Macaca mulatta: one gene and its partners. Each later gene encodes a partner of the first gene's protein in a complex. Links are inferred from orthologs where the notes say so. Each region holds a gene or a part of one and is shown in the gene's direction. Other genes may lie near its edges.

Region 1 (4,588 bases):
CAGGCTGAAGTGCAGTGGCACAATCTCGGCTCACTGCAACCTCCCCCTCCAGGGTTCACACCATTCTCCTGCCTCAGCCTCCCGAGTAGCTGGGACTACAGGCGCCCGCCACTACGCCCGGCCTCCCAAAGTGCTGGGATTACAGGCGCGAGCTACCGCGCTTGGCCTTTTTTTTTTTTTTTTTTTGAGATAGAGTCTCGTTCTGTTGCTCAGGCTGGAGTGCAGTGGCGCGATCTCTGCTCATTGCAAGCCACGCCTCCCGGGTTCAAGCGATTCTCCTGCGTCGCCTCCTAAGTAGCTGGGATTACAGGCCTGAGCCACCACGCCCGGCTATTTTTTTTTTTGCATTTTAGTAGAGATGGGGTTTCACCGTTGTTAGCCAGGATGGTCTCGATCTCCTGACCTCGTGATCCACCCGCCTCAGCCTCCCAAAGTGCTGGGATTACAAGCGTGAGCCACCGTGCCCGGACTTAATTTCAAAAGGTAATACAGCTAACCAGTCAACACTTCCTTCCCAATCCTTTCTCTTTGGGGTACAGGTGAGTATAAAATCTTACCAACTATCATAGATAAGAAACAAACCAAAGCAAAATATGTCTCTATGCTTTTTCTCTTGAGAGCGAAGGACATGGGTATCCTTTCTTAGAAGGCTTCTAGGACTTAAGCCAGTAAGAGAACTTGCGTCTCCTACGTCTCTGGAAGGCGTCTCTGGAAGGTGTCCTTTCTTCAATAGGCAGAACTAAAACAAAGTTCCCTTGACCAACGCGAAGCAAGCGAGGACAAGGTGGCCACCTGGGTGACTACATCCCCCAGCATGCACTGCTCCTTCTACGTCGCAGCCAGTGACGGAAGAAGTCGCATTACTTCTGAGATGGGAACGGGGTAGGGGAGCGCGACTACACATCCCAGGATGCAAAGCGCCCCAACTCTAGTCGCAACCTGGCTTGCTTTCTGGCTGGCGTTCCCCGCCAAAGGGACACTAGGGGAGGGGAATGTTTCGGTTGGGAATCCCCGAAGTCTGCTGGATCGTGACATTTCGAAAGAGGAAGGAAAGTGGAGGAAGGCTGTTTCACTGTAACTCAAAGTAGTTCCCGCGCAGGGTGGCGAGGCGTTATGGACCCCTTCCATAATTTATTGTTCCTCAAAGGCAATGCCAAGCCCCACTGGTTGCAGCCCTCGAGGGCAGGTGGGAAGTACGTGAAGCCCCAAATCGAAGTTACCAGCGTCTCCTTATTGGCCCTCGCCTCGAGCGCAGGCGCGAGGGCTCTGACTCTGGTGCACTGGGCCTGGTGAGCGGCAATTGGCCAAAGTCCGCGAAGTAAGAGTCCGGATTGGTAGTTGCTAGCAGGAGCCTGGTTTCTCCCTCGACTTCTGCAAGTGATAGAGTGTGATTGGTTTAAATCCGCGGGCACCTGTCGGTGATTGGCTAGAAGCCACAGGCGGGGCGCGGCCATTGGCTGGCACTGGGGCCATCCCTCCTCGGGCGGGCAGCGAATGATGAAATGGGAACGGGGAGGGGAAAGGCCGCGACGTGAGCGCGCGACCTCCGGCGCCATTTTGTAGAGAAACAAGCGGAGTTAACCGAAGAGGGGGTCGAGGAGAGCCGGAGTCGGGGACCCAGGAGTTTCCTGTGTCCAGCGCTGCCGGAGCCGCCTGAGGTGAGGCGGGCTGGCGTCAGGGGCTACGGTAGGGTGGCGGTGACAGCTTGGGAACGCGAGTTTCGGTGGGAAGAGGAATAGGGGTGGACCTGGGGCCACTGGAAGCGTTTCCCGGAGCTCCAGGGAGTGAGAGGCAGCCGGGACGGGGAATTGGGACGAGGCGGGAGAGGGCGGACTCTTCTCCGCACGGCTCTCGGAGGCTTCGCGCTCTGAAAATTAGAGGCCAGCCAGAAGGCTCCAGGGAGCGGAGAGCAGAGCTCGGGGTGAGACCCGGGGTGGTCTCTGTCCCGGGCCTGGAGGCTCAGGGGGCGGCAGTGGCGGCAGTTCGTGTCGCTGGGCCTGGCTTCGCGCGGGTTGCACCCTCCTGAGACCTCCACGAGCTCCTCAACTCCTCTGTCTGTCTCTGCTCCCGGATGGTTGCAGTGGGCATCGGCTCCCGAGGCCTAGCGCTTCGGGCGAGGGGCACCGTGTTTGGAGTTTTTGCACGTTTCCAGTTCTTCTCCGTGTACTCGGAGCTGCCACTCTCCCCCTCTGACGCCCCCAGCACGTTGTCAAAGCCCCCCAGGTTTCGGGTGTCCCCGGATGGGAAGGGCGGGCGGGAGCGAGCACTTCCTTATTACTTGCTACAGGTTTTGTTCCACTCGCGCGCCTGGGCGCTCACACTTTCTTTGAAGTCGGCCCCCACCTACTCGGTCCGGTGTCTGCAGTAGTGGCGGCCCTGCTCACCCAGGACAAGTGTCCTGCTAGTGAGCTGAACACTTGTAGGCCTCAAGGCTGATGAGATCCACTGCAGATCTTGTAGAGGTACTTAAGGCCAAACACAAATAATACTTCTTCAGTACCACCTCCTCTGCAGAATTTACCCAAGAGGGCTCACCGATACTAACTCCACGAGGAGTAAGCTTTGTAGATTAAAAAAGAATGCTTGACATCTGTGTGTTTGAAAATGTTGTATTTAAAATAAACTTTATGACAAACTTTTCCCATGAAGTTACTTCAATCAAATGTCCCATTTCTTAGGACTCTAATCAATTAAGGTCTGTTTTCTTCCTGAAAACTGAGCAACAATGCTTAACCTACCCTGCCGATTTCTCTACAATTCGATCGCCTGTGACTACTTGGGTTTTTTTTAAAGTCAATAATTGAGTGAATATAATTATACTGTTTGAAAAAATGCCGAAAGTTTTCCTTATGACAGCCTCCTTGATAGGAATAGGGAATATATGTATTAAAACAAAGAGGGAGGGCAAGTAAAATATTAGGAAGAAGATGAAACAGATTAAGAACAATTTTTTTGTATGGGTACGTGGGTTTAATACTTAAGTGGTCTGTGGTCCAGGTTGGCATTCCTACCCTTTTAGAGATTGGCAGCAGAGTATTTTAGCTATTAAGAAGACATGTGGTAACAGTTTAAATAATTATGTCTTAGGACACTGCAAATTGTTACCTTGTCTAAGGAGAACGTGCATTGATGATACATGGTTTTAGGTGACTAGCTGTGTTTTCAGTGAAATGGTAGCATGTTGATAAAACTAGTTTGGGCAGTTGATCCCTTTTCAACAAGTGTGAGTCCCCCAAGTCATAGTGGAAACAAGTCTAGAATCGACTGGGTGCGATGGTTCACGCCTGTAGTCCCAGTACTTATGGAGGCCGAGGTGGGTGAATCACCAGAGGTCAGGAGTTCGAGACCAGCCTGGCCAACATGGTGAAACCTCGTCTCTACTAGAAATACAAAAATTAGTCAGGTGTGGTGGCAGGTGCCTGTAATCCCAGCTACTTGGGAGGCTGAGGCGGGAGAATCGCTTGAACCCGGGAGGTGGAGGTTGCAGTGAGCCGAGACAGAGCCACTGCACTCCAGCCTGGGGGACAGGGAGACTTTGTCTCAAAAAAAAAAAAAAAAAAAGTCTAGAATCAAGGCACAAAGACGTGTCTATTTGTAACTGAAAATATTTCCTTTTCTTACCTAAGATTGTAATCTTAGAAGTTTTAAGGTACAGTTTTGTGGCATTATGGTGGAAAAGAATTGAAATACGTTCTTTTTGGTTCCCAGCTTACCACCCTGGGTTCATTTTCTTTTTTTCTGGTTTCTAAATTTCTCCTGGGGGTTTAGATCCTAGTCTCTTTAATATAAATGTTGTCGGCCGGGCGCGGTGGCTCAAGCCTGTAATCCCAGCACTTTGGGAGGCCGAGACGGGCGGATCACAAGGTCAGGAGATCGAGACCATCCTGGCTAACACGGCGAAACCCCGTCTCTACTAAAAACACAAAAAATTAGCCGGGCGAGGTGGCGGCGCCTGTGGTCCCAGCTACTCGGGAGGCTGAGGCAGGAGAATGGCGGGAACCCGGGAAGCGGAGCTTGCAGTGAGCTGAGATCCGGCCACTGCACTCCAGCCTGGGCGACAGAGCGAGACTCCGTCTCAAAAAAAAAAAAAAAAATATATATATATATAAATGTTGTCAAGCTAAGTAATAAGACATCCTTATTTGGAGTCAAGTCATTAAAAAAAACTATGAAAACAAATGGAAATGCTTGCCATCTTTTCAAAACATGCTTTAAAGTCTGATTTCAAATTATGTTGCATTTTACTTTTTCTGAGTATGTTTTTGGATAGATTCTGATCTGTTTATGATAAACTTTTTTTTTAAGATGGAGCCTCGCTCTGTCGCTAGGCTGGAGTGCAGTGGTGCGCAATCTCGGTTCACTGCAACCTCTGCCTCCAGGGTTCAAGCAATTCTCCTGACTTGGCCCCCTGAGTAGCTGGGACTACTGGCGCCCGCCACCATGCCCAGCTGATTTTTGTATTTTAATAGAGATGGGGTTTCACCATGTTGGCCAGGATGGTCTCGAACTCTTAACCTCGTGAACCGCCCGCCTCACCCTCCCAAAGTGCTGGGATTACAGATACGAGCCACTGCGCCCAACCAAGAAG
Region 2 (4,508 bases), on another chromosome or scaffold:
GGGATCTCAGCTCATGCAACCTCCGCCTCCTGGGTTCAAGCGACTCTCCCACCACAGCCTGCTCCCTCCCCGCCCCCCAATAGCGGGACCACAGGCGTGTGACACCGCACCCAGCTAATTTTTGTATTTTTGGTAGAAACGGGGATTCACCATGTTGCCCAGACTGGTCTCCAACTCCTGAGCTCTCGTGATCCGCCCGCCTTGGGTGCCCAAAGTGCTAGGGCTACAGGTGTGAGCCGGGCAGGAGAGTAACTTCACTTTGGTTTCCTCCTGCCTTAAATAGGCATACCACCTAGCATTAGGATGAATGTGCGTAAAGCATTTAGAACTCAGCCTAGGTGAGTTCTCCTTAACTCAGCCTAGAAGAGATCATCTGCCTGAGGATGAGGGGCTAGAGCCGCCCTGTGACTTGGGAAAGGAGGCCCCTTTTCAGCCTTGCTAGGTATCCTGGACCCCAACCCACTCACTCACCCACCCAACCCCAGCAAGTGGGGAGAGGGAGAGCAGTTCTGGTCTCATCTGTCTGGGCTGTTTAGGAGTGAGACAACACAAGGCAGGCAGTTCTCAGAGAATTCCCCTCCAAGGCCTGCCGGCTCTTTCTTGGCACTTTGCTTGGCAGATTTCTTTCTGTAAGTGCTTGTTTCTCACAGTCTTTCTCCTTTTTGTCCAGTTTTTCTTTTTAATTTTTTTAAATAGTATTTTTTGTAGAGATGGGATCTCACTGTTGCCCAGGCTGATCTTGAACTCCTGATCTCAGGTACTCCACCTGCCTCACCCTCTCAAAGTACTGGGATTGGCCGGGCTTGCTGGTTCGCACCTGTAATTCCAGCTCTTTGGGAGGCCGAGGTGGGAGGATCCCTTCAGTCTCGGAGGCGGAGGCGAAGATCACCCTGGGCAACATAGGGAAACCCCGTCTCTCAAAAAAATAATAATGAAGAAAAGAAAGAAAGAAAGAAAAACACAAAAAGTGCTGGGATCACAGGCGTAAACCACTTGCGCTCAGCCCCTTTCTGTTTCTTTTTGTGATCCTCCCAACCCTCTTCTCCCTCTGAATCTGTCTCTGGGACTGTCTCTGTCTCCCCACCGTCCCTCCCCTGCTCACCCTATCTCTCCCTGTATGTGTCTCTCGGTGTGTGTGTGTCTCTGTTTTTCTCTCTGCCTCTCTCCCTGTCTGTCTGTACCCCTCTGCGTGTCTCTCCCCGCCCCCGTCCGTCTGTGTCGCACGCGCACCCCCATCGGGCCTCTGCCCTTGTCAATTGCCCCTGAAGCCCTGCCCCCACCTCCGCCCCAGTTTCCTTCTACACGCCTCAGTCTCCAGCTTTGAAAACTGGGCAGGCGCCCCCCCGATCCGCACCCCCACCCCGACCCCCACCCTTTCCCCACGCACTCCCCGCCCGGTCGCGGCTGTCCACCGGCCAAGCTCAGGCGCGTCCTGGCCCAGGGCCGGGCGGAAGGGAACCAGTCCAGGGCCAGCCGGGCTGCGCCCGGGGCGCGCGTCCGGGAAGCGCCCCTCCTGCCCCGCCCCTGGCCCAGGCCCCGCCCCGTGCTTGCTGTTTAAGTAGCCGGCTCTCCCTGCCAGCCTCAGCCTGACTTCAGCGCTCCGACTCTCGGCCGACTCCCCTCTAATGGCCAACCGCTACACCATGGATCTCACTGCCATCTACGAGGTGAGTCCCCACCGCACGGCACCCCCGGTACCTGCACACTTGACTCCCCAGCTCTCTAGCGCCGCAAACTCCATCCCGGGACGCTTGCCTCTCTTCTCCAACTGGGGCTTCCTAGCGCCCTGCCCTCCAGCCTGGGGCCCCTGCCTCCCGCTCAGACCAGCTTGGTGATTTGGAGGTGAAAATGGAGCCCACGACTCCCGGCTCTTGGCCCAAACATGGGTGGGGCGGCCCGTGCGAGTGGAAAGTCGGAGAACTTTTCTCAGACCTAGGCTGCCTGGAGGCGGAAGTGGCCCCCACACCTGGCTCACCCCTAGTCGTTGCTGAGGGCGTGGTTTTGCGCGGAGGCGTCTCTGGGGCTGAAGTCTCAGGGTTGGGGGGATCCGACTTCTGTGTCTCCAGTCCCTGACCGTAGTTCTCTGAGAACCCTAAAACCGAAGCCATCCGGACTCCTGGGTCAACTTTGCCCGGTTCCTCCAGTTGTGAAACTGGAGATCCTGACGCGTGGGTCATATCTGGGGAGGGCAAGAGACCCAAAATTGGGAAAAAGTGGTGTGCCCTGACTTCGGGGCCCCCTCTTGGTCCAGCCGGGAAAGCCGGGATTCCTGGGTCCCTCGGGATAAGGCCTCGGTCGTGGGTAAACTCAGAACCTCCAAATCTGGGTTCCTGGCATCCGGAACCCAGGGGTTTTTGCAGGCGGGTGGGGCTCAGGCCAGGAGCCCACAAACCGGCCTGGCAAGCTCTAGTTCCCTGCAGCTGGGGTGGGGCGTCGCCCTGCATTTTCGGGTACCTTAACCGACCCATTTCCGCAGAGCCTCCTGTCGCTGAGCCCTGACGTGCCGGTGCCATCCGACCATGGAGGGACTGAGTCCAGCCCAGGCTGGGGCTCCTCGGGACTCTGGAGCCTGAGCCCCTCCGACTCCAGCCCGTCTGGGGTCACCTCCCGCCTGCCTGGCCGCTCCACCAGCCTGGTAGAAGGCCGCAGCTGTGGCTGGGTGCCCCCACCCCCTGGCTTCGCACCGCTGGCTCCCCGCCTGGGCCCCGAGCTGTCACCCTCACCCACTTCGCCCACTGCGACCTCCACCACCCCCTCGCGCTACAAGACTGAGCTATGTCGGACCTTCTCAGAGAGTGGACGCTGCCGCTACGGGGCCAAGTGCCAGTTTGCCCATGGCCTGGGCGAGCTGCGCCAGGCCAATCGCCACCCCAAGTACAAGACAGAACTCTGCCACAAGTTCTACCTCCAGGGCCGCTGCCCCTATGGCTCTCGCTGCCACTTCATCCACAACCCCAGCGAAGACCTGGCGGCCCCGGGCCACCCTCCTGTGCTTCGCCAGAGCATCAGCTTCTCCGGCCTGCCCTCTGGCCGCCGGACCTCACCACCACCACCAGGCCTGGTCGGCCCTTCCCTGTCCTCCAGCTCCTTCTCACCCTCCAGCTCCCCGCCACCACCTGGGGACCTTCCACTGTCACCCTCTGCCTTCTCTGCTGCCCCTGGTACCCCCGTAGCTCGAAGAGACCCCAGCCCACTCTGTTGCCCCTCCTGCCGAAGGGCCACTCCTGTCAGCGTCTGGGGGCCCTTGGGTGGCCTGGTTCGGACCCCCTCTGTACAGTCCCTGGGATCCGACCCTGATGAATATGCCAGCAGCGGCAGCAGCCTGGGGGGCTCTGACTCTCCTGTCTTCGAGGCGGGGGTTTTTGCACCACCCCAGCCCGCGGCAGCCCCCCGGCGACTCCCCATCTTCAATCGCATCTCTGTGTCTGAGTGACAAGTGACTGCCCGGTCAGATCAGCTGGATCTCAGCGGGGAGCCACGTCTGTTGCACTGTGGTCTCTGCATGGACCCTAGGGCTATGGGGACTTGAGGGACAGTAATCAAGTAATCAAGTAACCCCCTTTTCCAGAATGCATTAACCCACTCCCCTGACCTCACACTGGGGCAGGTCCCCAAGTGTGCAAGCTCAGTATTCATGGTGGTGGGGGATAGAGTGTCTTCTGAGGTTTTTGACCAAAAAAAAAAAAAAAAAAAATGTAGCATATTTAAGGGAGGCAGTGAGCCCTCTCCCCACCTCTTCCCTGCCCAAATCTGTCTCATAGAATCTTACGTGCTGTGAATAATAGGCCTTCACTGCCCCTCCAGTGTTTATAGACCTGAGGTTCCAGTGTCTCCTGGTAACTGGAACCTCTCCTGAGGGGGAATCCTGGTGCTCAAATTACCCTCCAAAAGCAAGTAGCCAAAGCCGTTGCCAAACCCCATCCATAAATCAATGGACCCTTTATTTATGACGACTTTATTTATTCTAATATGATTTTATAGTATTTATATATATTGGGTCGTCTGCTTCCCTTGTATTTTTCTTTCTCTTTTTTTGTAATATTGGAAACGACGGTATAATTATAAGTAGACTATAATATATTTAGTAATATATATTGTTACCTTAAAAGTCTATTTTTGTGTTTTGGGGCATTTTTAAATAAACAATCTGAGTGTAAGCTGGGATCCTGGCTTCTTCGCGGTCTAGAGACAGGAATGGGGAGGTAGAGGGTGACTTTTTGGAAGCTGGGTGCAGTCAACTCTGCTTCTCCGAGCCTCGCGGCGCTTACCTGGCAGGAAGTGACGTCACCGGGCCTGGCAGTTCACCTGAAAGGGTGGGACCAGGTGAGGTCACCAGATGGGAACCGGGGGAGCCAGTTCCCGGGCGTCGGGGGCGCTGCGCTCCCGTCCTGCCGGGCTCCTTGACCTAGCTCTCGGGCGGGCGCGGGCGGGGACTGAATGTTTCCGTCCCCACGGGGCCGCGGGAGGCGGGAGGCGGGAGGGGCCGGGTGGGGAGGACGGAATGTGCC
Region 3 (4,521 bases), on another chromosome or scaffold:
GTATGGACTACTTTTCAGGTAAAAGAAAGACAATCTATTAAGATAGTCAAAAGAAAACCAAACTACCAAATGGGCAAACTTGATTAACATTACCAATGAAGATGAACTTTTTGATGCAACAGGATAATTCAAAAAATGTAGCATCTATTCTTATAGTAAGAATAGTAACTCTTATAGTAAGAATTCTTACTACACAAGCCTTTAACAAATGCTAGGTCATTAAATACCTAGAGTACCCTCTAAGGTAGGTATTAAAACAATTTTAACAAATTTATAATAGATTTGGCACAAATAATAGGACAATTAAAGGCTTGTTCTTCAACATGGCTTAAAGTGAATTCATCCTAAACAAATAGTGTTCAGTGAGTCAAAGTAAGTAGTATCAAATATTGAAAGTAATAGTATCAATGTATTTTCTCCTAACACTCCTAACCCACACGTTTATTATAAAAATGTTTGTTGTTCTATCTCTTCCAGTAAAATACTCAAGGTAATAAAACTCTCAAATCAGACTTACACCCTCTGGAAGTCATTCTAAAGAGGTATAACCAATCTTTTAACACACCATCTTATGGTTGAAGATGTTAACATGAGAGGAGGAGAAAGCAGAAAGAGGAAGGGACTATTTGGAGAAGACGGGGAGAAAAGAAGGAAAGACACCAATGTGTTGTTCCTCCTCGAATTTTCCTGAAGTGGAAAAAAAAAAAAAAATGAAGTAGAATGTTTGATGAAATGAATAACCAAGTAAAACATTTTCTGTCTACACCAGTACCACTAGGAGTTGAAATAAATTCACACAATGTCTGCTATGTCAAAACACCTTACCTTCAAAAACATGACAGTTACCTTTTATTTTATAGTATGTTGTGTTTCTTGCTATTTCTTATTTTTGACCTTCAATGACAAATTTAAATTGGATTACAGTGATTCTTTTGTAAGGAAAAGGTAAATTTTTAAAAGAAACAACCAAGTGAAGTAGAAATTTTATTTACTTCAAATTAACTAATTACTCAAATAGAAAAGGACAATTTTTCACATTATGAAGCTACACAATTCCAAAACACACATGCAGAGGCTCTTAAGAACGAAATGTCTAGTAATTACAAAAAAAGTGAAGAGTTTACAGACATACAAAGAAATAAAGGGGAATTATTGCAAAGAAAAGTTTAATTTCACTTTGAACGACAACGATTTTTCTGGAAAGCAGATACTTCACTCCTTTAAGTTTCCACCCAAGCCACAATAATTTCAAATGGTCTTGCGGATGACCCAGCTGGTCACTCTTGTTTATGTGGAGACTGGGGGGAATGAGAGTCAGAAAAAGTGCTATAAACCTAATTTGGCTAGAGCAAGTTCACACGACACGACCGTGCTTTAAAAACTTGCTCTCCATTATGTACTTCCTTCCACCAGGTTGGGGGGGGGAAAAAAAAAGGTGAGGATGGTGAGTAAATACACCAGTGGTTTCATCAGAGGGGAACTCACTACTCAGAAGGTGACGGTGACGTGGTGCCGGTCCCTGAAGTACGCGCACAAGCTCCGGAGGTTGCGGGAGCTAAGGGAGGAAACGGGGACACGGTTAAATTCGCCCAGGTGGCGGGAGTGAGGAGGGGAGGAGTGAGGAGGCGGACGTGCGGGGGCGGGGTGTCCAACACAAACACAAACACGAACACGCTCAGCATCCCCGGGGAGGGCGGACTGAAGCCACCTCACCATTCATCGCCCCTGGACCCTGCGGTCCCCCTCGGACTTGGGGCCAGAGCCCTCTGCGAAGCAACCTGGCCCCAGGAAAACGGCAGCGGCCGCAGAAGCCCCGCTCTCTGTAACGGCCGCGGAGGAGCAGCAAGCCTCCCTGTGAGTCGATGGGAGACAAGACGGAGCAGCGGTAAGGGCGGTAGGGGAGTGAAGCGCCTCTCCCCACCTTGTTAGAAGCGCGCTGGAAGCGGCCTACCCACCCCATCGCTGCTGCTTTGCAGTCGCCGCTCCCACCTTCCGCCGCCACCCGGAGGGAAGCCGGAGCGACGGGGGTCACGGCGGCGGTCAGAGGGTAAAGGTCTTGCTCCCAGCAGCCTCCGCGGTGGATACGTCGCCATCTTGGATCCGCGGGACAAGAAAATTCATGCGGTGAGTTTTTGGCAAATTTTCGGAAGTCTGGCAGCGGGGCGCGCGGCGGGGGCGGCGGATTCGGGGCCCCCGCAAGGCGGGGGAATGCCCCGGGGCCGGTCCGGCCGCGCCCGGGGTCCGCCGGTAGCGTCCCGGCCCGCCGCTTCCCGTTGCTTTTGTCTCGGCTCCAATCGAGAGAGGGAGAGCGGAGCGGGCGGGGAGGGGGGGTGGCGGCGGTGGAGGGAGGGAGGGGGTGTGTATGGGGGTGGTGGTGGACGGGACGTAAAGCGTCGCTGTACTCGGGCCGCTGCAGCAGCAGCTCCAGATCCTAGGCCCGGTCCCATCCGCGAGTGGCGGGGCTTCCCCAGACTCCACTCCCCTAGGCTCCCGCCAGCGCGGAGGAGCCGCTACCGCCGCGCTGCTTCCTGGGGGAGAAGAGAAGGCGGCTGCGGCCGTGGCTGAGGAGCTCGAGCCCGCTTTAGACGGCTCTGCCGCCTTCCCAGCAGCTGGTGCTGTCTCTGGCTCCTTACATTCTCAATACACGTATATCATCTGCCAGTTATGTGTATTTCTGTTAGTGTGTGTGTAAGTGTCAGATGGGAGACACTGGACTGGCTAACGGGTGTCAGGAGCCTGCAGGCCCTGGGATACCGAAGGCTGTGCATGGTGGAGGGAGAAGGAATGCAACTGCGATGCTGCCTCTGCCACCGCACCAGGAAGGTGAAGCTTCCGTAGTGTCGTAGACTGAGTCCGGATGGTCCTGGGGCGGCGGAGGAACCACAGATGCTTCTGTCTGTGAAGTTACAAGCCCTGGTTTTCTACTTCCGCAGGGGCCTCTCCACCTTTTGCTGTTGTAGGTCTCACTTAAAAGTTTCACAGAAGAAAAGAGTAGGGTTAAAAGAGGCCTTTGTAGTTCTTAATTGAGGCACTGTTGTCTGTCCGGGAGAAAGCTGATGACTCTTGGTGACTGTGGTCCTTAGCAAAAGTGAATTGTAGTTTTCTTTTATACAAAGTATTTCCAAGGTTTTAGACTTTATATTTATTCCAGGCCTGTAGGTACGGTATTACCACCACTAAAGTCTTACATAAGGGTACCACCCTCTCAGAAGGAACCTAAACAACTTCCTTCGAATCCTTGGAGACATCTTCACTTTTCAACATCCGGAAGACTGAGTGCAACATATTTTGTTTCATTTTCATAAAACTCTTGGTCAGAGAATCCCACTCCTTTTAAAATCGTTTGGGCAGTTCTTCGTAATTAAGTACACTGATTTGAACCCTTAGATTCTTGGCGAAATGGTAAAAAGTACTCAAAGTCAGTTCACGAGGGAAGCCAACTTAAATTTAAGGTTCCAAAGTTGAACATACTTCATGCTTGATATTAGGAATTTTTAGAGCTCGGAATCATAAGTGTGACTCTTGATTTCCCTTTTGAAGCAAGATAAGTGGAAAGAATAAAGTATGGGGTGAGGGATGAGATAGAAATTTTAAAGTATCCATTTACATACAAGGTTTATGTTGAGTTTGGGAATGCTTGGCATAATTGACAACAGTTCTTTCCAAACGTCAATGAATATGTCTCTTATAATTTTGTAAGATTGCGAATTGAAAGGGTTAAGAATCATAGTGGGCTGAAATGGTTAAGTGTCTATATTCAGAGCCCAGTTCATTGAAATGTTTTATAATGGACCAAGATAATTAGTAAGCTCTGTATGTTGAATTTGTTTAGTTTGTAGTTCTTTTATAATGTTAAATCTAAAGAAAAAGAAATACAAAATACACTTAAAGACAAAACATGTTCCACTCTACTCACTTATTTCTTGACTTTGTAAGATCCTTATTGTAGAAAAGGTATCTTTCTCTCATATTTTCTGAGAGCTTGAATTGTAATAACTTTTGTGAATACTTTGTATTTTAGAGAGGAAGTGAGAAACTCTGCTAAAGTTTTTTTTTTTTGTATCTGAATTAGTACTTCATCAATACAAATAAGTTAATGTAAACATTTGTTGGCAGGAATCTTTTTTTAAGTATACAATGTAGAGATATCTGTAACCTAATCTGATCTCAGGGAATGAGAATTGCCTGTTTGTTTAACCAAGCAACACATACAGCCTATACAATTTTTCAGTTTCTATAATACTTTAATTTATATGGTGGAAAAGGAGGGCAAAATGCTTGTGTGTGAGTGATTTATATCCCCAAGTACCTGATCTTGAAGATAAAACTCAGAATGTGGCTTATCTTCTGATGCTGGGCAAAAAACAAAAACAAAAAAATTCAGAATGATACAACTTCCCATATACCTCCCTACAAGGACTAATTACCTTTGTTTTTCCTTTATAACTTTGGGTGTTGCACTTTTTGATTTTTCAGAGATGCTTTACAGTTATTATAACCTGAAAATTATTTGTTCAAAAG

What was found.
Region 2: the proteins of CNOT1 (region 1) and ZFP36 are in contact, whole or in part, in a crystal structure (PDB 4J8S), measured with the Homo sapiens proteins. The link is inferred for Macaca mulatta from reciprocal best matches to the Homo sapiens genes CNOT1 and ZFP36. Residues at the interface, in NP_057368.3 of Homo sapiens: Gln821, Glu835, Asp845, Ala848, Asn849, Phe852, Gln853, Tyr856, Asn894, Glu897, Glu898, Phe901, Gln904, Tyr905, Pro906, Glu909; in NP_003398.3 of Homo sapiens: Arg314, Arg315, Leu316, Pro317, Ile318, Phe319, Arg321, Ile322, Ser323, Val324, Ser325.
Region 3: the proteins of CNOT1 (region 1) and CNOT2 are in contact, whole or in part, in a crystal structure (PDB 5FU7), measured with the Homo sapiens proteins. The link is inferred for Macaca mulatta from reciprocal best matches to the Homo sapiens genes CNOT1 and CNOT2. Residues at the interface, in NP_057368.3 of Homo sapiens: His1864, Ser1865, Ala1866, Ala1867, Arg1870, Asp1871, Gln1917, Pro1921, Ala1923, Pro1925, Ala2003, Tyr2036, Leu2039, Glu2040, Ser2043, Arg2045, Ile2048, Ala2049, Ala2053, His2054, Leu2079, Leu2084, Lys2086, Gln2089, Ile2090, Leu2091, Tyr2092, Lys2093, Gly2094, Leu2096; in NP_001186231.1 of Homo sapiens: Met350, Val351, Asp353, Gln354, Phe355, Gly356, Met357, Ile358, Gly359, Leu360, Leu361, Phe363, Ile364, Arg365, Gly372, Met373, Val374, Leu376, Ala377, Leu378, Gly379, Ser380, Asp381, Leu382, Leu385, Leu387, Asn388, Leu389, Ser391, Glu393.

The regions. Positions count from the first base shown.
Region 1 is NC_133425.1:54,241,406-54,245,993, reverse strand, and holds the start of CNOT1 (CCR4-NOT transcription complex subunit 1), read left to right. Parts: upstream 1-1,559; 5' UTR 1,560-1,686; intron 1,687-4,588.
Region 2 is NC_133424.1:50,503,429-50,507,936, forward strand, and holds ZFP36 (mRNA decay activator protein ZFP36), read left to right. Parts: upstream 1-1,583; 5' UTR 1,584-1,625; coding exon 1,626-1,667; intron 1,668-2,476; coding exon 2,477-3,433; 3' UTR 3,434-4,157; downstream 4,158-4,508. UniProt on the Homo sapiens protein: Zinc-finger RNA-binding protein that destabilizes several cytoplasmic AU-rich element (ARE)-containing mRNA transcripts by promoting their poly(A) tail removal or deadenylation, and hence provide a mechanism for attenuating protein synthesis.
Region 3 is NC_133416.1:77,322,947-77,327,467, forward strand, and holds the start of CNOT2 (CCR4-NOT transcription complex subunit 2), read left to right. Parts: upstream 1-1,641; 5' UTR 1,642-1,713; coding exon of another isoform or gene 1,714-2,093; 5' UTR 2,094-2,124; intron 2,125-4,521. Other genes in the region: uncharacterized protein LOC144332960, read right to left, coding at 1,485-1,555, 1,714-1,852, 1,956-2,093. UniProt on the Homo sapiens protein: Component of the CCR4-NOT complex which is one of the major cellular mRNA deadenylases and is linked to various cellular processes including bulk mRNA degradation, miRNA-mediated repression, translational repression during translational initiation and general transcription regulation.